Linked DNA regions of Mytilus edulis. The protein of the gene in region 4 binds, or shares a complex with, the protein of the main gene of each other region. Links are inferred from orthologs where the notes say so. Each region holds a gene or a part of one and is shown on either strand. Other genes may lie near its edges. The genes, in order: jouberin-like, transmembrane protein 107-like, transmembrane protein 231-like and B9 domain-containing protein 2-like.

The links.
Region 1: B9 domain-containing protein 2-like (region 4) and jouberin-like share a complex: the UniProt entries of both Homo sapiens proteins name them as parts of the tectonic-like complex. The link is inferred for Mytilus edulis from reciprocal best matches to the Homo sapiens genes B9D2 and AHI1.
Region 2: B9 domain-containing protein 2-like (region 4) and transmembrane protein 107-like share a complex: the UniProt entries of both Homo sapiens proteins name them as parts of the tectonic-like complex. The link is inferred for Mytilus edulis from reciprocal best matches to the Homo sapiens genes B9D2 and TMEM107.
Region 3: B9 domain-containing protein 2-like (region 4) and transmembrane protein 231-like share a complex: the UniProt entries of both Homo sapiens proteins name them as parts of the tectonic-like complex. The link is inferred for Mytilus edulis from reciprocal best matches to the Homo sapiens genes B9D2 and TMEM231.

Annotation. Positions count from the first base shown.
Region 1 is NC_092344.1:20,716,277-20,723,214, reverse strand, and holds the start of jouberin-like, read left to right. Parts: upstream 1-3,911; 5' UTR 3,912-3,990; coding exon 3,991-4,003; intron 4,004-6,938. UniProt on the Homo sapiens protein: Involved in vesicle trafficking and required for ciliogenesis, formation of primary non-motile cilium, and recruitment of RAB8A to the basal body of primary cilium.
Region 2 is NC_092356.1:64,949,426-64,956,281, reverse strand, and holds the start of transmembrane protein 107-like, read left to right. Parts: upstream 1-3,832; 5' UTR 3,833-4,097; coding exon 4,098-4,181; intron 4,182-6,856. Other genes in the region: coatomer subunit beta'-like, read right to left, coding at 797-1,006. UniProt on the Homo sapiens protein: Plays a role in cilia formation and embryonic patterning. Requires for normal Sonic hedgehog (Shh) signaling in the neural tube and acts in combination with GLI2 and GLI3 to pattern ventral and intermediate neuronal cell types.
Region 3 is NC_092348.1:50,344,713-50,352,342, forward strand, and holds the start of transmembrane protein 231-like, read left to right. Parts: upstream 1-4,628; 5' UTR 4,629-4,650; coding exon 4,651-4,789; intron 4,790-7,630. UniProt on the Homo sapiens protein: Transmembrane component of the tectonic-like complex, a complex localized at the transition zone of primary cilia and acting as a barrier that prevents diffusion of transmembrane proteins between the cilia and plasma membranes.
Region 4 is NC_092346.1:49,637,448-49,644,860, reverse strand, and holds the start of B9 domain-containing protein 2-like, read left to right. Parts: upstream 1-4,411; 5' UTR 4,412-4,585; intron 4,586-6,490; 5' UTR 6,491-6,494; coding exon 6,495-6,582; intron 6,583-7,237; coding exon 7,238-7,363; intron 7,364-7,413. Other genes in the region: tyrosyl-DNA phosphodiesterase 1-like, read right to left, coding at 96-290, 875-1,706. UniProt on the Homo sapiens protein: Component of the tectonic-like complex, a complex localized at the transition zone of primary cilia and acting as a barrier that prevents diffusion of transmembrane proteins between the cilia and plasma membranes.

The DNA.
Region 1 (6,938 bases), on a different chromosome or scaffold from region 4:
ATTCGACACTTGGAACACTTGTTTCAATAGCTTCCTTGTGAGCAGCAACCCTCTATCAATGAAACCATGGTCGGAAACACAAGCCCTGAAATATTGTATCAATTGAAATATATATGCTCGGTATGCAGGCGCTGCTGGAATGTTGTTACATAGAAATTGGGAAGCTGAAATCATCTCTTCTGTCGTACAGTTTTGTTTTCAACCGAGTCTCGTCAATTCCTAGATGTTAGTCAAGATGTGAAGCAGAATTTACTGTATCTGTTGTATATTTTATCTCAAGTTCCATGGGGGGCGGTAGATGCGTTCAACACAGTTACCAAAATTTGAATTTTTATTAAGTGAGAGAACATGATCTGTATATATATAGCGGAAAGTTAAGTAAAAGGATACTGTTTTTCTTTCTTCCAAGGAAATTCCTGCATAAAACCAGCCTCATGAATAAAGGAACAAGTCGACAATAACGAGAGCACCGTTGGTTCCGATGGAAATGTGGATTCTTTGTTGAAAAACATGTCCTCCGAAGGTAACAAAGATGTTGTCTATCAAGAAATCAAGCATCTTGACAATATCAGTAATTGATTTTTTTTGTTTGAATAAGAGTGGTGTTTTACAAGGTACGATTCATCCGAGAATTTATCCCTCCTTCAGACAAGATACGTGGATCTACTTAAGCCATTCTTTTTCGTGAGATAAAAACATGACAAACTGTTTCAATTTGTCTTTAAGTTTAATCAAGCATCTTGACAATATCAGTAATTGATTTTTTTTGTTTGAATAAGAGTGGTGTTTTACAAGGTATGATTTATCCGAGGATTTATCCCTCCTTCAGACAAGATGCGTGGATCTACTTAAGCCATTCTTTTTTGTGAGATAAAAACATGACAAACTGTTTCAATTTGTCTTTAAGTTTAATCAAGCATCTTGACAATATCAGTAATTGATTTTTTGTTTGAATAAGAGTGGTGTTTTACAAGGTACGATTCATCCGAGAATTTATCCCTCCTTCAGACAAGATACGTGGATCTACTTAAGCCATTCTTTTTTATGAGATAAAAGCATGACAAACTGTTTGAATTTGTCTTTTAGTTTGGAATGGGGAATACTTGTGTAAAGTAAAGAAAAAGTCAAATGTTTTATTACTAAATTGTAAGATGCATGAGTCCTAGACTGTATGAGCTATAAGATATCTTTGGAATGTTTTAGTGATCCACACCAACACTAGAATATGAACTTTCACAATAACTTTGAAGTCCGGCTTTGATTGTTGATAAAAATTTATGTAAAGAATTTAGAAAGAGGTTTTGTGGAGCACTTGGAAGACCCAGCATTACAATGTTATTTCAGTTTCTTTTTTAACATTAAAATATGTTAGAATGAAGAAAAAAATGATACGGACTTCGTTCCCTTTCACATGTAACGCCTGCGTCGTATTATATATTATCTTAAAACTACTGAATAATTAATATTCAAGAGCCCTAAGATTTGCGCAACGGTACTATAAATATAAGATGGTATTAAACGGAGACGATTTAAAAATAGTTTAGTGACAACCATCTTCATCTTATTATCGTTCCAGAAACTTAATACTATTAGACCAATATTTGTTTTCCTTAATGTGCGCAGTATCGCCGATTCTACTCGATTCGGTGCTGATTAAATTTGCTGGTTGGTCCTTTTTAAAGACTTTTCAGTTACGTGCCATATATTAATTGTAATTGTATGTGTATTGAAGAAACAACAAAAGAACTGCCAATGTTTACCAGCACTGGAAACATGATCTCATTTATCTTTAAATTCATTTTCTAATATTACAAATTTATTTTTTAATATTAAGAAATCGTGGGTTTTTTTTTTCTTTTTTTCATGTTAGAAATTAATTTCTAAATATGAGAAATTCATTTCCGAAAATAAGAAATCATTTCCGAAAATTATAAATTCATTTCTTCATATGTATTAGAAATTCATTCTCTAATATTAGAAAATGAATTTTTAATATTAGAAAATGAATTTTTAATATTAGAAATTCATTTCTTAATGTTAGAAATTCAATCTCTAATATTAGAAAATGCATTTTCAATATTAGATAAAATAATTCTTAATAATAAAAAAATGATTTTTTAATAGCAAAACATATCTTTTTTTGTCAACGTTGCCATACTGATCGATTCATTTCGTATATGAGACGATATCTGCAAAAGTATATTTCCATGTTCCATCTTTTACCAGCAATTATTTTTTTATTAGTTTAAACATATTTATTTATAGTGGATTGGGAAACAAGTTTTATGCAACTTATATTTATCCCTTTCCACTTCAGTTGCGGGTGCGAGTGCTGCCTTGTAGCGACATTAGCCTGCTCTTTTTCGAAATCTACAAGAGTGTCTTTCACCATGTTCACGTGCAAGAGATATGGCTCTCTCTTAACATGGATCAGCAATTTATCGTCCCCTTCCGACGGACTATCATCGTTTCCTCAAGACCATACTCGCAAATAGTGACAAGGGATAGCCGAAAATTCAATCCCTGAAATTTTCATCCCGCAACGGGAATCGAACCAGGAACCTTTGTGTTAGTAGTCCGATGCACTATAACCACTACACCACGGCTCTCTATTTTTGTATTCAACCAGATTTTTTTTTAATTTTAAGTTTCAGTATTAACTAGAGTATATAATGCACCAACTATTGCCAATTAAATACTCTTTCTTATATTTCTTCCAATAAAATATTATAATTTGAATATTCAACCCCCAAAAATTCTTGTTGTCCGGTGGTGTTATCTGACAACTAAATCATTCAAAGAATATCCAAATTAAGTAAACAGGCTTCCGATTTTCACAAATATGATAGATCATATAGAAAACTTGTCCCTTACTGGTCTGATTTTGTTATAACTGAAGCATGTGATAAAATTTTGCATTTTTAAGGGTCTTTTAAATTTTGTCTCAAGGGGTAATTTCCCTCCTGTTACCACAAGTTTTTTTCACCTGTGGAACCGTTTGAAAGACCAAAATTCGATGTCTTGTAATGTAATGCGAATAGCATCATTTCCTGAATGTTTGACTCCATATGTATAGGTGACTGGCAGCCAGTTTGAAAAATCCTAACTCCCCAAAGAAAAGAATTTAGGAAGAATAATTTTGTTGTTCTCTTCTGTTAAAGTCTTTTTGTGTACCTTCTGAGAATATTTCATTGTCAGCACCATATAACAGTAAATGTGTTTTTATAGTATCTTATTAAATTGATATGTAGATGGAGTAAAATTCAACACAATTCATATAAAAGGACAAAAACTTGAGTACTGTGTAATTCCTTTCTGTTACGTTCTGTCATGATATACTAGTATACCACAAATAGAATCTTTAACTTATTCTTTATTCCCATTAGGCAGCAACCATTTGATTTTCGGGGGGGAAGGGGGGCTATGGATTCAGTTTGTCCAGACAAACTTTTTTGACAAAAAGCAATCTACTTTTTTGGCCGACAAGTCGAAAACTGTTTGAATTACAGACAACAGTTCCTAGATCCTCAATTTGTGTTCTTCGATTTGTGCTATTTAAACTATGTTAAAGTACCGGTTTTAAAGACATTTTTTTTCCTATTGCCAAACTGAAATAAGACATTTTCATATATTGTCTCATATAGACTTAGTTTGATTTTTATTCGTCGGAAAACTCTTATAACTTCTGACATCAATGTAGCAATAAAGATGAGACCATCAATGTTAGTCATGCTCGGAAACGGTATTTAATAATGATATTTGTATTAATTTGTTGCCCCCCCCCCTTTTTTCCACCCCGTCATAATCACTGTTAAAAAAAAGTGTGGTTTATGTCTTACTGGACAATTTAAAAAGAGTTCAATGTTAATTTTATAATGATAAAAAGTGATCAGCAGAATTAGATATAATTTATAAAAGTGATGTTGGTCATTGATAATATTTCAACCAATCGAATGAGGCGTTATATCTGGTTGCCAAACGTAAACAAAAATGGCGGATGAAGGTAAAGTTTTGAAAATTTACACATGTTTTAATAGCATTTATCACAAGTCTGATATTATTCACAATTTTACGCACTGTCTAGTGCAACAATAATAAACAGGATATACACAATTCTTGTAATAATTGTAATTTTGTGTAAGAAACAACAAAATAAATGTCAATGTTTACCACAAAAACATGATCTGACCTGAATTTTTCAATTTTTAGGTTGCAATCTTTATATTCACTCATTTCGTATAGATTGAGTTTGATTTTTATTCGTTGGAAAACCTTTTGACTCTTATTAATTCTGACATAATAAATTTTATGTATCGATAAAGATGAGACTATTCATGTATAATAGTTTGACAGTTTTCTTGTAAAAAAGGGTTGTGCTATTTAAAATCTTTAATCATGTTAATTGAGAAACGTACGGTAATTGAAACTGAACGAAAAGTTGGCAAAATCAAATGAACTGGATATTTAAAATGTAGTTTACTTTCCTCTAAAACCTTGCTAAAGTAAATAGAACAAAGTTTATATATTAGATAATAGATCATACCCGTCGAGTAAAAGCCAATATTGGAGGTGGGTACAAGTCAAATCGGCACCCATAGAAAAAGTCAAATCGACACCTGGTTAAATCGGCATCTAGTCAAATCAGCACCTATTTAAAATCAATTCGACATCCAATAATATTTGATATAATATATGGTACTGGGACTATTATGCTAAGTTAGTAATTCAAGTATACTAGCATAATAGTCCCAGATATATATAAATAATTCTAAAAATGTTTCGCATATTTCTGTTAATATTTTCACAACTATATGATACAATCTAATAGTGAGAATTAATACAAAAACATTACCACAAAAAGACTTTTTATGGATATATGGTATCAGGAGAAAATAAAAAATAATAAAATTCGAATTTAAACCATTCAGGTATCCTCATTTCCATTGTGAGGACAAGGAGAATAGCACAAAATGTTAGGTTGAAGTATATACATTTGAATTTAAAACATTGAACTAGAACATTTTTAAAGATAAACTTGTATCACCTGGTGTAAGAAAATGTGTGTCAAAAAACTTATAACTTGTACAAAAAAAACCTGTAGTACAAACTTACATCTTGTACACAACATACAATGTAAATATTAAACAAATTTAACATGGGTGCCGAATTGACTACATCAAGTGCCGATTTAACCAGGTGCCAATTTGACTAAGTGCCGATTTGACCAAGTGCCGATTTAACCAGGTGCCAATTTGACTAGAATTCCTTCGACGTAACAATACAGATACAGATACATTTGTCATATAACATATCTAATACATTGTTGTAAGTCTGAAAGCAGGGAATACCTGAATCCCACATTTCCTGACTTGTGCCCAACCTGTTCAAAGACAAAGTAGATAGATTTTAAAGCACGATTCAGACCATTTTTACTTAAAGTCTTTAAGATTTTATCCTTCAAACAGGAACACTGTCAGAGGTTAGACACAAAACATCTTTCAACCCACTGAGTGCATCTTGATTTGCTTTGTGTCTAACGCTACTTGTATGATTGAAAGGTGTATATTGTAGTCAAAATTTATTACTTTGGTTGGCAATAAGTTGAACTTATTATAACATATAAATAAATACAACAATAGTATACCACTGTTCAAAAGTCAATAATTAATTAAGCTAAAACAAAACCAGGGAAATACAAATGTACATTAACTATATGACTACATTTATAAGACATTCTAAGAAGAAACCAACCGGAACAACAGAAAACTGAACTGCAACAAAAACGAACGCAAACATGAAAACAATTAATAATAAATGCCATTTTCCTGGTACAGGACATTTTAAGAAAACATGGTGGTATGAACCTGGTTTAATGGCTAGCCGAACCTCTCTCTTACATTGTATATGGCAATGTTAAAAATATTGCTAAAATTACAACATTTCATGCAAGCATTACAAATAAACAAAAGATAGAGAAATACACAAATAAATAATATAATACTACACAACAACATATAAACCACAGAATAACAAAGGACACCTCCGATGAATCAGAGTTCTCGTTAAGACGCGTATACAAGTCATTTTTGAAACTGTGAGTCCCAGGAATGCATCCTGATTGTATCCCCTGAGTCCCAAAAACATTGTTTTGCCTATAAGATTTATGATTGTCGACATTGTTTTGACAAGAAACTTAATGGAGTCGATGTTGAAATTATTTGTTTTAAATGTGGCCCTACACCAAGAATTGATAGACCAAGAAAGAAGTCTGTTATATATTTTGTAATGAACAATTACTATTAAGAGATCATAATTTTTATAAATATCTAATAAAAACTACAATTTAACATGCATTGTTTTAGTTTTATTTCGTCATATTTCATTATATTAAGACGCAAAAAATAATATTACATGCATCCTGGACTCACCATGAAAAATTCCTAGTGAGAACCCTGATTATTTATTTTTTTATCAAATTTTCACCACATTATTTGCAGTGAGAAATTTTCTGATTTTTAGTGCCAACTCCTTTAATTTCCACACAATATTACAAGTTCATGTAAAAAAATATTCTTTTCTATTCATGTACAAAATGTATATATGACTAATGTATTTATAACCAATATGTTATATGTTATACATACATGTACATGTATAAAGCAGATTTGTATTATTATTATACTTTTAATTCCTGTTATTACTTTTAATTTCAATGACAGCTGCAGCAATTGAACAGTCCATCAATTCAATAGAGAAAGAATGTATATTATAAACCTACAAAGTAATTGAAAAGTGAAAGTGGCAAAATATTGTTCTATCAAGTTCAATGTATTTATATACTATTTTTATATTTTCATTGCCCATTGTACATCTGTTGCTGTTAGTATTTTTTGTCATGTTTGTAGTACATTTTATTTGTCCGACCGTCAGCTGTGACA
Region 2 (6,856 bases), on a different chromosome or scaffold from region 4:
TTGTGAATATATATATTATGTCATAATGAACATATTTAAACCATAAGTAAAAAATCGTGAATTTTCCCTTTAAAGAAGAATAATTGTAGATTTACTTTGTATTATAATTCAAGAGCAATTTTTATAAAAGAACCATTTAAATGCTAGAACTCAAAGGTATCATTTAAATTTTCAGAATTAATATATTATTAGCAAATGAGAATAAAATTTATTAATATATATCAAACTGATATTTTTTCTTTGAATTTCAAACAATACGTTCATTATAAGTTGTTTTTTTCTCCATTAAACATTATCAAATGGCACAATCAATGTATGCACAATCTAACAATACTCTTAGAGATAGAGTTGTTTATTTCTTTTGGACTGTTTTGTGAAAAAAAAGCTAAAAGGAAGAGGTTCTTCATACATATGTAGCACATAATTCCAAAGTTTTTTTTTATTCTGATCATTTTTTAGGTTTTAATGTAAAATTTGGATTATTCTAGATCTGATCCTAATAATTTCTGAAACACGAATTTGAAACTGTCTGAAATATCTGGAGAAAAAAGGATATATGCCGAAGCAAAGTAAAATAGAAAGTAAAAAATTAATACAAAAATATTTTTATGTCAAATAGCATTCATTAAAACATGTAAAGCAGGTACATTGGTTAAAACATATAGAGGTATCTGGACAAAGGTATGGACAAAACAATAGGAAAAACATGCAGCATATTATATCAGTGTTACTTGGAGCATATATAGTGGTACACTTGCTCACATGCTAGCTATAGCCTAGAGAAACTTTGAGATACCTGGGATTCAAAATTCCAAATGTGTACATTTCCATTGTATAAACTGGCTAACATCCATGGCTCTGTAGGGTGCAAGTCCACAGATTTGACACGATCAGACCTAGCTGACAGCTTCCGCTTTATATCCAAACGTAGCGGCTGAAAAGAATAATAAAAGTCAATAGTTATATACCTGAGATTCAAAATTCCAAATGACCACCTTGCCATCATACAAACTAGCCATCATCCATGGTTCAGTTGGGTGCAGACCCATGCTTTTAACACGATCTGATCGGGCTGTCAAAACCCGCTTTATATTCAAACGTAACGGCTGCAATACATAATTCATTAGATATTAGATGTTGATCATGTTTAAGTAAGTATATGTAAGAATGAACAGTGTAGAGCTGTAAATACTAGATTTCATATTATTTTAATACTATATATCCTTTCAACTGTTGTTTGGTAGTTCCTTTTAACCCATCACAGAAGTTCTCCAGATACAAGAGTACTTTTTCCATAACAAGAAGAAGAAGCATGCACAAACTTAATAACATGACATAAGAAAGATACATACATGTACATGTAGAAGACCATTGTTAATTAGAAATATATTATTAAAATTTCTGGTTTTTAATATTATCAACATAGGAAAAGTGGGTGACAGAGATTGGATTTTTATATCCCATATCCATGGTTTCGTACCTCATGGACAACTTATATGTACAATGTATACCATTTCTTATCTCATCATGTTAGGTTTGTATGTTTACCATTTTTCACCTCATGGAAGTTTTGTATGTTTTATTGTTTATCATTTTAGAAGGTTTGGATACTATAGGCCTCGACAATAACGCTTGTCCGATACCAGAGGGAAAAAAGGTCGGACAAGTAAAAGCTGTATCAAGCTTGTCCGTTGGAACAAGTACAATTATTCTGCAGAAAATAAATTTCATCCAACTTTGATGAACAAAGTATAATAATAAACAAAAAACAAAAATTAGTTTGACATGTTTCTGTATTCTGTTTATTGAAATGCAAAACCTTTTTTTTAGCATGTTTACTTGCAATCGATAATTTTTAACTTGTCCTTTGTCAGGTACCTTTTAACAGGTGAAAGGTACTCAGTGTTCTCCCCAGGGCCTTTTAGCATCATGGTAATGTGATGCTATAATCTTAAATGTGATGCTATTTGAATTGGTTTTCTTATAGATTATGTTATGGATGTGATGCTATAAATTTCAGAAACAAGATGGTATTTTAATTTCCCCTATTTACCAGGATGCTAAATGAAATATCTGGGGAGAACACTGGTACATTATACTATTCTCGGAAACCAGCCTTACTGATCCGAATAATCAATGCTGGGTTTTGTAGACTAGGTAACTTTACAGGACAGTTCTCACTTCGACAGGTTTAGCTCAAAGTTTAATAGACAGTTTGGCACCGTAGGAGACAAATTTAGTGGAAATGATTGATAGACACTTTGGCAAGGCAGGAGACATTTCGGGACCAAGACAAATCAGTTCCTCATTTTCTTTCCTTATTCTGTTCTTTATAATAAATACCATACAGGTAATTTTTTCACAAAAATATTTTTTTTTATTTTCCATAATTTTTTGTATTAACCATAATTTCATAAAATTCACAAAATCATATTTGATCATAGGTAAAAAAAAAACAATACTTGCAAAATGGTGACCTTTAGTTGTTAATTTCTGTGTCATTTTGGTCTCTTGAAGAGAGTTGTCTCATTGGCAATCAGACCTTATCTTCTTCTTTTTATTGATTGCATTTGAATAAACTTTTTTCAACTTAAAAAAAAAACCAGGATACAAATCCAATGAGTGTACAGGCCTATCAGATGGTGCCTCATGTTTAGAGTCTGATGAGACAGCTGGCATTGATGAAAACTAGAACCTAAGTCCTGTGACATGACTAGATTCAGTTGTACTTGACTCATATTTTTGAAAAGTATTTCAAAAGAAATACATCAAATTCTGTTCTATTGTTTAAATTCGTTTTGTTCCTTTAATCAACTTAAAATGTAAAAAGGTTATTTTTTATTAAAAAAATTTGGACAAGTAACAATTTCATTGGGACAAGTAAGTTTTGGTATGTACTTGTCCTACTGGCATGACTGGACAAGTTGAAAAAAAAGTTATTGTAGAGGCCTGTACTATTTCATTGATGTATGTACTCCACATGCACTTATTGTACAATTACTCAATCATGATTAAATTAATAACATTCAAGCGTTTTTGAGTTATTGTCCAACAAATTGACGACGGAAGGACAGACAACAGTATACCATAATACGTCCAGTAAACGGGTGTATAAAAACAAACAGATTTGATATTTATTAAATATTACTATCATTTACCAAGACTGTTGGTAAATGATACAAAATAGTTAACATGTATTTAGTTCATGAGGGACAAATTGATAGATGCTTTGGCCCATAGGCATAGGGTACGAAATACACCTTATCGCTATTTGTCTGCCATTACTGGATATCACACAGGTTCCCGTAAAATTTTGATGTCATAAAACAATATATCTGACGCCACAATGGAAAAGTGATTGTTCTATGCGTCAAAAGTTCAAGCGGCCGGGTCAGCCAGGATTAGCGATAAGGTGTATGGCAGTGCCCCAGTGGTACAAAAATGATTAGCTTACAACCAATAATGCATTATGATTATGACCACATTTCATAAATGACTATCAAATTAGTGTCGTTCTGCTTTACACTTAATGTCTAATTGCAATAATTTTCGGTAACCTACAAAATATGTAATGTTAAAAAATGTGTCAACAATGGTCCATATCCCCCCTTTTCACATTAAACGTTGATCTTTACTATATTTCGCCCCTAAACCTGACAGCTACTACATATCGAGAAGCTCATGCGTTATAAAATTCTAAAATAGTTATTCGTTACCATTCTCTTGGGTTATAAGTTTGTAAACAAATAAGTTTCGCCGGTTCAGTTTCAACCTGGATGAAGAGACGTGTCCACAGTGAATGCGCAAGCGTGACCGGACTCGGAAGTTAAACATGATTTGTTTGAAAATGGCCGCCAAACAAGCTTAGACATACCAATATTTTTATACTTATGCATTGTGTACATCGTGAATAGCAAGTTGTCATCAAAGACATAACCATTTTATTGTAAAAGCAAAACTGAATGGTTACGCATATTTAAGGAGTTAAAACAACACTTGGCAAGAATTCGAAGTATACTGTCGTAATTTGTAAATTCTTGGTTCCAACTTAATACAAATTACAAGGAAATTATACATATACTTCAGATATAGTCAAAATGAGAATAAGTGGTCTTGTTCCAGCAAGATTTCTCACAATTGTCGCCCATCTTGTGATAGTCATAGTTTTATTTTGGTCAAAAGTAAGTAAACTTTACACAATAATACTGTTTACAATACACCTTATCGCTATTTGTCCGCCATTGCTGGAAATCACACAGGTTCCCGTAAAATTTTGACGTCATAAAACAAAATGTCTGACGCCACAATGGAAAAGTGATTGTTGTTGACGTCAAAAGTTCAAGCGGACGGGTCAGCCGGGAATAGCGATAAGGTGTATACACCTTGTCTCTATTTTGTAATTCACCTTATCGCTATTTGCCCGCCATTACAATTTACTGGACATCATACAGGTTCACGTAAAATTTTGATGTCATAATACAAAATATCTGACGCCACAATGGAAAAGCGATTGTTGTATGACGTCAATAGTTCAAGTGGGACAGATTCTGGGGTCAGACGGGATTAGCAATAAGGTGTATCAGGTCCGTTCGCGCCCAATACACTTTCGCACCCTACACGTCTGCTCCTCGCACGTTCGCACCCAAGGTCTGTTCGCACTCTACATGTTCACGCCCAATTTTAGATCAAATTCCAGTTGAATAATTAGAAAATCATGATTGTTGTTTTAAACTGCATAGGTATTTAGCTTAGTAAAATGTATGAGTAAAACATTGAAGATTTTAAATGAAAAACACAAAAGATAATTGTTTTTAACAGCTTGGTCCCTTTGATCTGAAACAATGAAACAATAAAATATAGCAATACACTATTATCATGATTAGTGTATCGCTGTAACTTTGTTTCAATCATTGACTTAGGCCATAATAAATAAAAGGTTTGTTTGCCCAAACACTACCTACCAAGAAAAAAAGCTGCCTACTCAAATTCTTTTATTGTCCTGATTTAAATGATAAAATTTATTCAACACACAAAAAGAAAACGTAGTTAGAATTTCACTTTATTTTGAAACAAGGCCAGACTTAAAAATATTTTGGTTTGCCCAAACCCTACCCAAAGGTTGAGACAGTGGGTAGGTAGGTAGGCATTTTTTTTTCTTTCAAAAAAAGAAATTGAAGTATCAGATGTTAATTAGTCTTCATGCCTATTTGATAAAAAAAAAAAACTTCTTCAAATCAGGACAATAAAAGAATTTGAGTAGGCAGCTTTTTTTCTTGGTAGGAAGTGTTTGGGCAAACAAACCTTTTATTTATTATGGCCTAAGTCAATGATTGAAACAAAGTTACAGCGATACACTAACCAAAACATGATTAAGAGTTATTCAGCACAAAATAAAACGTTGACAGATTCCAACATTATTTAGAAAGGATTGTTATTTTTTTTAACAATACACTATCCAAATGAGATTTATTCAACACAAAAAATAATGCTGTCTCACTTTATAATGAGACAATGACAACAAATATTCTGATAGGAATACACTTTCCAAAACTTGATTACAAAGTTGTTAAACACAAAACCAATAAAAATTGGGCGCGAACATGTAATGTGCGAACGGACTTTCAGTGCGAACATATAGTGTGCGAAAGTGAAAGGGGGCGATCATGAGTGGGTGCAAACGTGAATGGGCGCGAATGGACCCGGATTCGTATCTGTCCAACCTGCAGTGATTTTGCTAGTGTTCCATCATTTCGTCATTCACAAAATGGTTTTCAAAATGTTGAAAGGATTTCAAATCAATTTCGTCTCTTAAATCATGACATGTTTGAAGGTCTAATAATATTTTTGTATAAAAAATATAATTGTGTTCAAGTTTCTGGCCCTGAGCCGGTAATTAACATTTACATTTGTACAACAGGTGTTACAAGTTGTGATTTGTAACAGCTTATCCGCTTATCACCATCCGATTGGTCACTAATGGATCATATTTAACCACAAATATAATTATGATAATTAACCTTCTTATAATAATTGTTTTCCCCAGAAAAATCAGTCAGTCAGCATTTGAACAACCACAATGTAGTACGTTTAGTCATTTCATGAAAATTGTTTTCTTCCAGACAGTTCAAATTTGAATTTCAATATTCCTCAAACAGTAACAAACTTTTTGAAGTTTCTATGTCATTGTATGTCATGTATGTACAATGTAGTTTCTTTATTTGAACGTATTTTCGACAAAATAAATTTAATATTGAAAGTCAATGTCATCTATTCTTCATTTTTTTTTACAACCTCCTTACAGTCATTTTAATCACTCTAATGAGTATTTGTACAAATCCTTAGTTCCAATTTACATGATTTATAAGAATTGTTTTCATGCCCCACCTACGATAATAGAGGGGCATAAGCCGCATTATGTTTTCTGGTCTCTGCGTCCTTCCGTCCGTCCGTCTGTCCGTTTGTCTGTTCGTCCGTCCGTCCCATTTCAGGTTAAAGTTTTTGGTCAAGGTAGTTTTTGAAGAAGCTAAAGTCCAATCAACTTGAAACTTAGTACACATGTTCCTTATTATATGATCTTTCTTATTTTAAAACAAAATTAATCTTTTGACCCCATTTTCATGGTCCACTGATCATGAACATAGAAATTAAAAGTGTGAGTTTCAGGTTAAAGTTTTTGGTGAAGGTAGTTTTCAATGAAGTTAAAGTCCAATCAACTTGAAACTTAGTACACATGTTCCCTTTTGGTTGATCTTTTTACTTTTAAGGCCAAATTTGATTTTTTACCCAATTTCACGGTCCATTGAACATGGAAAATGATAATGCGAGTGGGGCATCCGTGTACTTGGGACACATTCTT
Region 3 (7,630 bases), on a different chromosome or scaffold from region 4:
AGTGCTTTTCTCTTTTTCTATTTACAGTATATGACTAGGTAATAATGATTACTTTTTTCAACTATTTTCATACTTTTTTGTTTCCTCTGCTTTTGTATCAAGGGCATAATTGTTTATGGCAAACTAAGCATCTGCATAATCAAACTATTCCTAACTATACTCTACCTCAAATTCTGGAAACTGCAGAATTTTTGTCATAGCAGTCTTATGGTAGCTGAACTATTTCTATTTTTTGTAAATCTGGATTAATAAGTCTTTTGTCACATTCTGGGGCTATAGAAAAAAAAACATTACAGAATTATCAAAATTATGTGTGTATAATGTTTGTGTACAGTCATTCAACTAAAAAAGGACAAAAATTATTTTTTTGTGTATAAATAAATAATTGTGATTTTAATGTCTAAATATTATAAAAAAAACTTCAAAAGATTAAATTTAAATTATAATCTAAACATAAAAGAGCACATATAAATCAACCTTTTACTCAGATTTATATCTAAAACCAGTTATAACTAGCTATTATATCTTTGACTTCACAAATATCATCATCTAATTTTACAAATCAGTATTTATTTGGTGGCACTTCCTGCACACTAAGTATGTTATGCCTTAGGTTTAATTTTGATGCAATCACATTTCAGAAGGTACATGTCTTGTACTGTTTTAATGAATAAATTACAGTTTTAAACTCAGTTTAGGCTGACCTGAGGTCAATAGTCTTAAACAATGTCATCAAACTATCAGTTTTACTGTAATATATTGATATTGTGACATTTATGGGAAAGAGCGTATGAGTTAGTCAAATTGGTCAATACAATGGAAAGTTTATAGCTGAGACTACTATAACACTATGTGTTATACTAGTAGTCTCAGTTTATAACTATGTTAATGTTAATTATATACATGACATAATAATCAAATCATTTAAAAAATTATTCCAAAGATTTCTCTCAAATCATGTTTATATTTTTTTAGAGAAGAGTCTGTCTGAAATATATTCAGGGGTAGTCCAAATAATTATGACTTCTTAAAAAGCTATATTATGGGGAAAAAGGGGGGGGGGGGGGTCTATTATGTTTTTTTTCATACAGGAGGAAGACGTCAAAGCAACAAAAAAAACCAACAAAACAAAAGAAAATAATAGCCTGTCAAGACGTCCTTATATCATAATAATTTGGTCTAATTTTGGGATAATACATTTAACTTCCTTTGATGTCGGGGAGGGGATAAGTTTTGACGATTAATTATTCTTGAAACTAACAATAATTATTTCTTATTGTTACTTTGTTAAGCGAGCGCGATGTGTGGTTCTCGAGTTATTTAAAAAAAAGGGGGGGGGGTTGTTACTATATCAAATTTACCCAGTTTGGAGACAATAAATATTTAAAATCTAACCATAAACTCCAATGTTCCTGCTTTTTTTAGCAGAACAAACACGATGGCACTCGTCTCTGTTATAATCAATAGTTAACTCATTTCTTCTTCCAGGTTATTTCTTAATCAATTATGATTATCAGCTGTCTATCTATTTACCATGTTTATGTTAAACTGGTCCGTAATTCCATCGTAGTGTATCGATAAGTGAACACAACAGTGATCCAGTTTATTAAACGTCTGTAAACCGAGGTATATAATATACAAGGTTCCTGAGTCAGTAACCGTAACTATCCCCGTGCTTTGTACGCATGCGCAAGAAACACCAACAACAAGGATAAAACAGGGTACACAGTTCCGTAATTTCGTATATTTTTCTTATCTTCATACTAAAGAGCTCCAAAAGTAGGCGTGCTTAGGTGCACTGGGCGGGTCTAAAAACCGACTCTCGGTGGTTAACGTCTCTCGATGGTTAACTTTAAGTGCCTACCGACAAAAACTAAATTCCTTCATGGTTATATCTTGCCATACGTTTATATTGGTTTGAAAGGTGATTACTCAAAATCGTTATTTGAAAATCCTGTTTGTGAGATGTATATTCATTTCAATACAGAAATTTCGTCTATATATTTCACAAGTGTATAACACGGAGAAGCTCTGAAGGTCCATTACTCCCCTTTTGTTTGGGTGTGAACCATCGATGTTGACAGCAATATCAAAGAATAAGATGATGATGGTAGAAAGAACTATGGGCGTCATGTGGCAAATATTACATGCATATCGGACAATGAGTTGTCAATCTGTATGAAAAGATTTCCAATACAACCATATTATTGAGAAGGAATGTTTACATGCTATACTCTCGTACTAGTATTACAGGGTTCTTGTGGCGTTCACCTTAGACACACATCTTTTTAACGATGTTTAAAAAAAAGACAGAACCAATTTAATGTCATATTTCCCTATTTTTTTTTAAATATAACTAAAAGTCTTTCATCTGACAAGATTACCCCTATTTAGCGGACAAGTTATTTATTCTTTTTTCTGTTATTGAATACCAAGAAAAAAAATAAATCCCGAAATTAATTTGAAACTTTGATACTCAAAAGTTTCCCAGCAAAATATTCACATCTCTTCGGGATAATTAGTGTTCGTCCAGTGGCATATATAACAATTTTGATGACGAATTCCTTCCTTTGTTCGAGAACAATCTTATTGAAATATAAATCTGTGATTTTACTATGTCCACAACTTCAATGAACCAAAGCAAAAGTTATACATCGACCTGTATTTAAATCAAATTGGTTCTCTTCTTCTTCTGGTATACAATAGTCTATCGACATTCGATGATTACATACTGTTGGCATACGTGGACTAGTCTATTTACAACACTTTTACCCCTATTTATTCAAAATATATGTTTTTTTCTTATGTTCAATGTATACATGTATATATTTTAAATTGCGCTATAGTTCCGTAACTTTCTATCCAGTCGTATAAACGAATCGTCGGCAAGTGCGTACATTTTTTTAAATCAATATTTCTGGTATGTTCCAATCTGTCCTTCACTTTTGACAATGAGTATATATTACATTTTCCCAAATTCACCCTTGGAAAAATATTTAAATAGATTTTAATTTCATCAAATCTTATTTTTTGGGTATTATTTATATTTTTATGAATAATATTCTTTACACCAGAAATGTTATTTATAAACAAGCGTATGAGTTTGGTAATGACAAGTAAGACAGAGTTGTATATTATACATCTGATAGTTCAAAATGGAAAATTAAATGTTATCAGCCGTGTACACTGATCAATACCTGCAGAAGTGAAACGATGCGTGAACTTGCAAGCCCGACAGGAAATCGCTTAAATACCTGGACGTGTCACCTCACACCCCTCACAATACCTTTGGAAGTAATACCTTTAGCCATGCTGGTGATCAGAAGAGGGAAGATCAAAATTTATTTGAAAACAGTTTATTACTTTAAAGAATTATGAACAAATTAGATTTTCGAAAACAATTTTCACGGAACACTTTTTATTTATGATTTCAACTTTGACTTGTCACCTAATTCCAAGTTTTAAAAACAACAGACCATGGTTAGTTAGTCGGATAAAACAACCGTACGATTGACAAGATATCGACACGCAATTACGACTACATCGGTTACTGTAGTTTTGTTTCTTTGTGGTTTATAGACATATCGTTTCATTAATCGGGAAAGAAGGACAAAATGGCGGAACGCAGATAATTAATACTCTAAATTTAAAATCGATGGTGATCGCTTATCTAGCGGAATAAAACTTTAATATCTATGAATTTGAGCATTTTTATACAGAATGAACATAATATCAATTTTTGATTTTTTTGCGAAGTTTCATTTTGGCATGATAGTGTTTCTACAAAATTCCGCTTGTGTTTATCTGTCGCCGAGAAATAAAAAAATCAGGTGTGTCTATCCAAAGAATAGAAATATAAACACATATTTTTTAGAGTAAATGTCTAAAATTTCGACCCCTTAGTTTATCTCTTGAAGTTGTACATTGAGGTATACATATTTTTTTATTACAAATCTGAATTGCTAAGGTGAAAAATAGCTTGTATGGGATCGAAACTGTATCGTATGCCCTTAAAGCCCTCTTTTGTTTTACTTGCCGTTCAATATTATATTGTTTGTTTCACAATAAGTAAATGTTTTTGGCTTTGGTTGTTCTTTTCGGTCTTCATGACGGAGTAAGACGAGTAACAAAGTTGTTGTCGGCTGGTAGAGTCGACACCAGACCCTCAACCACCTTGTCATATACCTTGTCATGTATATCAGGATCAGACGGAGGCTGTGTCTTCTTTACTTTCTTCTATCAGTTAGCGTTCGTCAATTTCTAGCTGACGTCTCATGATGTTGGTTATGGAATCGATCCTGTTTCTGGTCTCTTGTAGTTCCTTATGATGAATCGTATGCCTTTAAAAAATAAGCTGCTTCTCGACTGACTACTAAACTAGACTTTGTTCAAGTGTAGCGTAAATTACAAGCGGATTCCAGTTTATCTGAAAAATAGGTTCACGTACTGCTTTACTTTTATTCACCCTGAGCTAAGTGGCGAAAGGGTCGATAAAAACAATTTATAAATAAAAATTCATCAATTTACTCATGATGCAAAAAATACCAGTAATCAATCATGATTATACACAGAAAATAATGCACATATTTTTTTTTATTAATAATTCATTTATGTTATATCTTATTCACGTCGTTCCTGCTTTGTTTGAAAATGGCGGTGTACGAAGTATTTTCTCATCCAGAACTTCGACGTTACAAAACCCATATCTGTTCAAAGGCATCTATAATTCTAGTTGTGGTGTTGTTTGTTACAGTAATCCCTCCACTTTTCGTTGTTTATAGGAGTTATGGTAAGTGCGATGTAAATTTTTTTTTAAAAACCAAGATTTTTCACCAGTCATATCAAGTTGAAGCACGTTGACAAAACAAATTTATACAGATTCATGTATATATTTGTAAATAAAAAAAAAATGTTGACCAGCTTTCCGTATTGAGAGCGGAAATGGCATCGGTGATAATTAGAAAACTGATGAAACAACAATTTTTTATTGATAATATAAAGAAATTCAGACATAAGGCCACACCAATTTAATTGCAGTGGAGTCCCCGGTGTCCGTGCGGCCCGTGTTATCGCGCATTAGCTGATTTCGTCATATCAACACAGTTACACATACAAAATCGTTCTTGTTAATGTTTTAGCCTTCCGAAGGGATAAAAAAGAATAAAATTGATAAGTTCAAGAATTAATTAATAACTAAAATCCTGTGATTTACCATATTTGGCCAATTTCCATTAAAAAAATTACATCATCAGATAAAATTGGTTTTATTTAATTCAAATTAATATTAGATTGAAATAATTTTTGCTCTGCATCCTTGGAAGTGTGTTTGGTACAAACTCAGCTATATTTCGTAGTGTAAAATCTTTCCTTTATTCCAAATAAGCTATTTTTGGAAGGCATGCGCGAAATCACCGGACATTGGAGGAACTCTCAGAACAGGGGTTTCCCTAATTTTGGACACACATTACACAAAATCTAGAGGATGAAACCATACAAACAGAAGATTTTATGAAATAAAAGTATATTATGAATGTGTTCACACAAAATTATCCAATTATTGGTTTTATCAGTTGAATGAAGTGAAGTCATAAGTCTTATGTGCGCGGATACACCGGACTGCACCGTGCTTGTTCTACAGATTTTTGGACTCCAAAATTTGGGGCGAGCGAGCGATTTGAAAATTTTAATGAAAAAATATTTAATTTGCAAATTTTTGAGGCGAAGCTTGAAAAGTAAAGGCGAGCGATTATAATTTTTTTTTGTAAACATAAAATAGTAGGTTTTGACAACATTAAAACTTGATTTATCACTTGTACTCTGACATTTCTTTAATTTCAGAAGTGTTTTTTTCCTTGTTTACCAAGAAATAATTAAATGTGGTCTATGTATGTAATAATAAATAATAAATAAGCTTTATTTAGAGTCGGCAAGGTATACAAACATACATGTAGACAAAATGTGTGACTGAAATGAGACAATTCTCCATCCAAGTCATAATCAGTTTGGGGGAAACCCCTTAATGTTATAAATATCCCTTTTACATGTTTTATGAGGGATCAATATAAGTTATTATATATTTGTTTGTACAAAAAGGCTCATATTTTCTCAAAGAACTATATATCTATCTGGTATTAAATGGTAAAAACATGTCCAGGAATTTTGTAATATTCCTGGACTTTAACCATGTTAAATTAACACATTTACTTTATTACAGTTTAATATTATTCAAAATAAGTGGACCCCTCTTTTAGAAAAAGTACAAAATTGTAAGTTTTCAAAGGTTTTGTATAGAAGAACTATACATATCCTTGGTATTTCTTTTCTTCATCAGTAAAACAGTAAAATGACCCCTTGTCTGAGGGAGGATTGTTCTCAACCTGATAATAACAAACACAGGTCAAAGTACGGCCTTTTTAACAGGGCTTTGATACAGACCAAACAGAGCTATAAAGGACCCCAAAATTATTAGCGTACACAATTCGAACAGGAAAGCCAACGATCTAATTTATCAAAAAGGGAAAATACCAATGAACACCATCAACAAACATGAAACGATAACTGCTGAACGACAGGCCCCTGAATCAATCAGGACAGGTGCATAAACATGCTGCGGCTATGGATAGTTTTGTTTCGCCAGCATACAATATAATTGCAGTTGAAGACAAATCCTTCAGAAGTTCTTCATACTTTATTCTAACAATGAACATTTTTTGATATGGAATATAAGTAAGGGGGAAAGAAACCAATTTTTTGTACTTTACAGATATTTCTGCTGTTAATTTATCAATTTATATCGGAGCTGAAACAAATATTCTCACAGATATTTACACAGTGAGGTGGGGTGCTTTTATGTTTAAAATCGTTATATACAGGTTAGACTGTGATTTTAAAAACAAATGTTGATATCTTTTTATAATATTTACAACAAAAACAGTGCGGGAAATGGACATGATTGCATTTCCAGATGCGGGAAGCGGGAATATAAAAGAAATAAAAAAATTCTGTTTTGAAAAAAATAGGTGCGGGCGGGTCTGTCGAACAAGGAATCAAATTGGTGTGGCCTAAAAGATTCATTTTCTAAGAAAAAAGGTTGAGGTATTGTCCTTTACAGTGTGTAGCAGATTATTTAATAAAAAGACAACTTTGTTATCCCTTCATGCTCCTCTGGTACTTGTGACCTACATGTACAATGAATTAGAGAACTTACATCATTCTAACTATCGGCAGCAAAATAAGTGTGTTACTTCATTTAAACGTGATAAAAGTTGCCTCCAGTAGATATTTACCGGTAATCCATTTATTGCTTTAAAAAAGTTTTATTCCTTTCCAAATAGCTCGTCAAACATCTTTTATTTTTGTAAATTTTCTTTCATTCATCCGTTATTGACCGTTTACTAACTACGGTCAATGTTACTTCATTTAATCATGATAAAAGTTGCCTCCAGTAAATATTTAATCCATTTATTGCATTAAAAAAGTCATATTCTTTCCAAATAGCTTGTCAAATATCCTTTATTTTTGTAAATTTTCTTTCATTCGTCCGCCATTGACCGTTTACTTACTACGGATCGGAACCAGACCAGCTATGACCAAAATCCGTGCTTTTACAATAATAACTACAGACGCATGC
Region 4 (7,413 bases):
GTGCACCACATGATATCGCCTATAGTACAAGATGAATAACCAATGGCACTTGAAAAATTCATATAAGATTAATTACTGTAAGTATCATCTCTCACCTTTGATATCCATTGCTAAGACTTGGTTGTATTGGTTTTGTATACCATGAACTTTGGTTAGGAAGAAACTATATGGTTGTCCTTCACTATAGACTTGATCTGGAGATAGAGGACCTGTTATGGATATCTTTGGCTTTTTTCTTGGTGGAGATTCTTGTGTGGTTCTACCACTCCCTGATGTCTGTTGATTATCATCTGAAACACAAAATGTTTCCTGAAGAATGTGATTCTATGATACTTAACTAAAACCAAGCTAAGATATCTTTTGTTTATGTTATACATTACAAAAGTGAACTATCAGAGGCATATATTTATTATTGTTGTACAATATATAAATGTTGAAATTTTGTTTAATTTTGATCATGGGAAATATCTCTACTTTTAGAGTACATGTAACAACCATAGCAATGGTTAAACATGCTTAGAGAAAGCATATTTGATTTCTTACAGACATTTTTATAGTCGAACAAGAATGTGATCAGTAGTTGACAAGTGGCTTTGAAAACTGCCCTGAAACAAAATGCTCAACATGCAATATCAAATCATGAAAAGTATTTCCATTCTATATCATAGACCTATTATTCAAATAATCTGACTTATTCCTTTCAGCATATAACTGACAAACTGACCTTGCTCTTTTACCACTAAACAATGAACAAGAAACAAGCAGGTTGTTTTTGTACAATGATAACAAATGTTCTTTTGTTAAATTTTACTACTACCTGATAGGACAGGCAATTGATGCAAATCCTCTTTTTTTAACTTTGCTATTTAATTACCTGGATGGCTGAATTCTTGAAGATGAGATGGATTTTTCCTGTAACATTTTGACCCATACTGACAAGGAGGTTTCCTCCTACTAACTGTCTTCTTTTCTTCTTCAAGTAAAACTGTCTGTTTTCTCTTCAAGCCACTAGATGGTGATGGTTTATAATCAGAATGTTTGCCTTTCTCCACTGGACTGTCAAATCTTTTTTTAATATCAACCTTTTCAGCCTCTGGACTGGAATCAATCTTATCTAACCAGTTCTCTATTTCTGTAAATGACTTAGTCTTTTTCTCAGAGGACTTAGTCACACTTTCTGATGATGGTTTTGTTCTCTTGTCATGTGACTTAGTCAAAGTTTCTGGTGACAACTTTGTCTTCTTGTCTATTGACTTAGTCAAAGTTTCTGATGATGGCTTTGATCTCTTCTCGATTGACTTAGTCAAAGTTTCTGATGATGGCTTTGTTCTGTTGTCTAGTGACTTTGAAAAACATTCTGATGATGATTTTGTTGTCTTTTCTTGTGACTTAAGCTTAGTCAAAGTTGCTGATGATTTATTACTTTGTTTAACAAGTGATTTAGATTCGTTTTGTTCAGATGTGGATTTCAATGAGTTAAATAATGAAGATTTTCCTTTCCCTTTAGAAGTCCCTTTCAAAATGAAATATTCTTCACTTTCCTCTTCAGACTCTGAAATCTCATGAACTTCACTTCTTCTTTTACTTAATGACGGAAGATTTACTGGTGATTTGTGTGGTGATTCAGTGGTCACGTCACTATCTTCTGGTCCAACAGTAATATCCGAGTCTGTATCAGATACATGATGACCTCCCTTTGCAGACATAAGATCAAAATGATTCCAATATATATATCAAAGTGTGGAATTTAATTTACATTTTTTTTCCTAAAAAAAATAAATTTACCATGAATTTTTTTAAATTACATACCATATTACAAATAGGTTATTTTTACCTCCTGGTAATAGAAAGGGACAACATCAGAAAGCAAAGGACAGTATAAACAAGGTTTGTCCCTTTTTTGGGAGGTTCTAGATAGAATAAACTCATCATAGATATAAGGATTCAAATTTTATATATATGCCAGACACACAATTTTCGTCTACAAAAAGACTCATCAGTGAAGCTGGAATCAAAATATGTTAAAAAGGCCAAATAAAGTACAACGTTGAAGAAATGACAATATTAATTTATGCACAAAAAACAATCTTAAATATATACAATTATCATTCATTAATAACAGGCCATTAATGGAAGGTTAAATCAATACGGAATATTCTACAAATTATATCCAATTGATTCTTATATACTAGTATAGGGTGATTCAGTTTTATAAAGGTCTACTTTAGCAACAGACACAATCCGATTTTTTGGGAAAGTTTTGTATACATTCTGTTGGCCTGAGCTGACAATGGCTGAGGTACAAATTATTCTTACACTAGGAAAGTACAGTACATAGTGTTGTTACATGTATATGCAAATTCCTTCTATCGATTCTATTTGAATGAATTAATATAGTAATCATTAAAGACCCATCCAATAAACAGATTACCTGTAACAACAGATTATGACACCTGTTGTTACCATTGATTAGTTTGGGGTCTTAAACAAAGTCATAATAGTTATCAAAGGTACCACTAGCAGAATTATAATTTAGTACGCCAGACACGTGTTTCGTCTACATAAGACTCATCAGTGACGCTCATATCAAAATATTTATAAAGCCAAACAAGTACAAAGTTGAAGAGCATTGAAGATTCAAAATTCCAAAAAGTTGTGCCAAATATATGGCTAAGTACGTAATCTATGCCTGGGATAAGAAAATCCTTAGTTTTTTTCGAAAAATTCAAAGTTTTGTAAACAGGAAATTCATAAAAATGACCACATCATTGATATTCATGTTGACACCGAAGTGTTGACTACTGGGCTGGTGATACCTTCCGGGACGAAATGTCCACCAGCAGTGGCATCGACCCATGAGTGGTGTAAATAGTTATCAAAGGTACCAGGATTATAATTTAGTACAGCAGACAAGCGTTTCGTCAACATAAGATTCATCAGTGATGCTCATATGGAAAAGCAATCTAATTAAAACCGATCTCTTATTGCTCCTGTTTCTGATGTCGCGTGGGAGATCTAACGAAACCTGCTTTGAGGTCACATGTGAGTGACCTCGTAGGTGTGTCTTTTTCGACCAATGAAATTGAGTCTTCCACGATCTTGAAAGTTTAATGAAAGGTAAAGGGATGTAACTCATTTTATTTACGACGAAATCGTCAGTCAAAATAATTCATAAACTTTTTTGATTGGCTTACTAATAGGTCATCAACTCATTTGCATATCATTATAAATTTATAACTTTTAGTTCACTCACATGTGACCTCAAAGCCGGTTTCGTTAGATCTCCCATGCGACATATCAGAAAACGGGAGCGATGAGAGATCGGTTTTTAATTAGATTGATGGAAAAGTGATTGTTGTATGATGTCAAACGTTCAAGCGGAACAGATTCCAGGGTCATGCCAGACAGATTTCTAAAAATAAAGAATTTATCAATTATTATCGTTATTGTTTATACATGTATTTAAGGTTCATCATAAGGAATTGAAAAATATGGCCGTGTTTACACCTCCAAAATTACTATGAGTACAGACAAACTGGTACATCCAGGAAAGTTTTAAGGCATGGCAGGAACTAGATATATAAAAGTTATATGAAGTCTACGTTTCAGAAAATTAAAAACTTACCTGGATTTTGATGTTCATTTTTTTCCAGTCTGCAGAAGATAGCAAAATAAACAAACACCCGAGTTTCATTTGATACGGTCCATTCAGTGACACAGTTTAAACCTGTTAAATCACCTATTGTTTACAGGTGTCTATTGTCCATTTAAATCAATACTACTCACAACATTCATTATATGAGGGGAGCTTCTCAATCGTTTTCACTACTTAGTTAATTTTTGCACCTTCTGCAGGAACGAAAAAAAATGGATAGCAAAATCTAGAAAAGTTTATAATTTTCTGAAACATAAAATGCATTTAAAATTTATATATCTAGTTCCTGCCATCCCTTAAAACTGTTGCAGGTGTATAGGTTAGTCTGTACTCAGAGTAAAATTTGGGGTGTAAATAAGGCCATTTTAGCCAAAAGGTTATGATGAACCTTAAAGCATTGGACAATGTGTTTTATTCCTTCTCCAGAACAGGAATTGGTTATTAGACGTAAAATGCAAGAGCACACGTGTAAATTTATATGAGAGATTGATGATTGTTTATGAGGGAGATGCAGGATGTTGATTATTTATAAGCTATGAATTTTACACTGACAAATATGATAAGTTGTCATTATCTTGATAGAACTCACACATGTGCCAAATCAGCATTTGTTTACTAATTATTTTCGGATGTTATTATTTCATATTTTATTTTTAAAAGCGTTTAACAAAGAGTTTCATTTTAAATAGCAACTAATTATTCATCCAAGATCAATTTATTTTGATAAATAGGATTTATGCAAAATACGAAAATATCAAATTGTTAATGTCAACAAAAATGGTGGACAGGAATGAACATTAACAATTTATTCTAAAGAAAATGAAATTTCCTGATATATAAGATATCAGAGAAGCCTAAATCAGAAAAGTTTTAACCATTTAATAACAAAATTACTGAATTCAGCATTTTATCTACTTAAATTACGGCGTGGTAAGCAAAAAGAGAGTTTAAAGTGCCTTGGCCATGTTCGAACTTGAATTTTCCTAGCGGGTTTTAATTACTTTTGATTTTTATGTTCGAAAAGACGGGTTGGGCATGTCAAATAAAATGGTTTGCCAATTTAACTACAAGATTCATTTAATTGCTTTCTTTCTGTTTGAAATATTTATCACAAAAGGAAAGAGACACCAGATGGTTAGAGTTATGGTATCAGGTCCGTTAACGCCCAATACACTTTCGCACCCTACACGTTTGCTCCTCGCAGGTTTGCACCCAAGGTCCGTTCGCACTCTACACGTTTGGGCCCAAAAAAAAACCACAAAAGATAATTGTTTTTGATAGCTTGGTCACTTTGATCTGAAACAATTAAACAATAAAATAAAGCAATACACTATTATAACCAAAACAAGATAAAATTTATTCAACACACAAAAAAAAAACGTAGTCAAAATCTCACTTAGTTGTTTTGAAACAAGTCAATGAAACAAAGTTATAGGAATACAGTAACCAAAACATGATTAAGAGTTATTCAACACAAAATAAAACGTTGACAGAATCCCACTTTATTTATAGAAAGGATTATATTTTTTTTAACAATACACTATCCAAAACATGATTAAGATTTATTCAACACAAAAATAAAATGCTGTCTCACTTTATTTTAAGACAATGACAAGAAGAATACTCTTACCAAAACTTGCATGATTACAAAAAAAACCAATTAAAATTGGGCGTGAACATGTAGGGTGCGAACAGACTTTGGGTGCGAGCATGTAGGGTGGGAAAGTGAAAGGGGCGAACATGAGTGGGTGCAAACGTGAATGGGCGCGAACGGATCCGGATTCTAGAGTTATAATTGAAAAATGCATATGTTGCAAACATTGTTTATAATACATATGTAAATACCAAAGAGAGAACTTTCTGTGTTATTCAATACTACATAATTCATAAAGCTATCACATGAATCCATTTACAAATTTCCTTAAAGAAGAAGACTAGTACTGCAATAATGACTTTGAGGCCACATCAATTTAATTCCTTATTTGACAGACCTGGCCGCACCTATTTTATTCGAAACAGAAATAAATTTTAAGATTTATATTCCTGCTTCCCGCATCCGGAAATATAATCCTGTCTGTTTTTTGGTAAATATTATAAAAAAATATTAACCCTTAATTTAAAATCACAGTCTTACCTGCTTACCTGTATTTAATGATTTTAAACCTATAAGCACCCCACCACACTATGTAAATGTTTTTGTAAAAATTTGATTAAACATTAAACCCATATATCCAAAGTGGGAGTGCTCTGATATAAATATATAACAAGGGGAAAATACCTGTACATTAGTTTTCTTCCCCCTCACCTACATTCCCGGCCCATCAAAAAATGTTCGTTGTCAAAATAGAGAATGCAGAACTTCTGAAGGAGAAGAGTTGCCTTCAACTGCAATTATATTGTATGCCAGCGGAACGAAACTATCCATACCCACTGCATGTTTATGCACCTGTCCGCATTGATTCTGGGTCTATTGTTCAGTAGTAACATGTATCGTTTGTTGGTGTGGTTCTGTTCATATGTATTTTCCCGTTTGTATATATATGTAAATTAGATCGTTGGTTTCCCTCTTTGAATTGTGTACACTAGCATGACTAGTAATTTTGGAGTCCCTTTAATTTGACTTTTGATACATTTTATACATAAAAATGTACAACATAAAATTAAGAATGGAAATGGGGAACATGAACATATAATGTACTTTTGGAAATGTATTTGAGAGAATTCAATTGAATTACATATATATATGTGAAATAAGTGAGTTTTAAATTGTGTAATTTTATTTTTTTCCTCCGACATAATTGAATCTTGAATAGAGTAATTGATTTATTTTTACAGAATCATGGCAGAAGTACATATCATAGGACAGATTCTTGGTGCTGATGGATTTCCAGATCATAGTTTGTTTTGTAAATGGGGTATACATACAGGTGTGTTGAAATAGACTTATTAAACAACATATACATACATTTTTTTAAAACTTATTTTGAATAAACTTTGACTAGTTCTTTAGAATTATAAAGACTGTGAAATAGCAAGCAAACATAAAAAACATTCAAAATTAAACTTACTTGTAGTCTTCAGCAAAATTTTGAAGAAAATAATCTGTTTGAAGAAAATCTGATTAGAGAATTTGTTTTGTCTGTATATTAGCCCTTTTTCAGTGTGTTATGATTGATTATGCAGTGTAACCTGACTTTTCTGACACCTGAGTGTTCCAACATCCTGCTTTAACCGACACATTTTCATGGTCCCAATTTGCTTAACCTTGCAAAAAAAAAACCTGCCAGAGTATTCCGACACCCTGCTGAATCCAACATTTTTTCTGGTCCTCCAGTATGTCAGATAACACAGGATACACATTATTCAAATTCAGTAAATAGTTTTCTTCATTGTTATTGACCTACATTGTATATCCATAAACAATGTGCATGATTAAAGTGTTAACTTACATTCACCAATGAAGACCACAAAGTCAAAGTCCAGTGTTAGTTATTTGTTTTTATACTATAAGATATTTTTTTATGTAAAACTACATGTACCTCATATATCAATTCATATTTATGATATATTTTGTATTATCAGGAGGAGCATGGAAAGCTTTGTCTGGTCTAAGAGAAGGACAAACACAAGTAGATAACCCACAAAATTATGATGAAGCATACTGGGCTCATCCAATAGATGTTCACTTTACAACCAAAGGTTTACAAGGTAATTTGTTCAATTAAAACAATATTAAATATTACACTTCAGTTCTTATC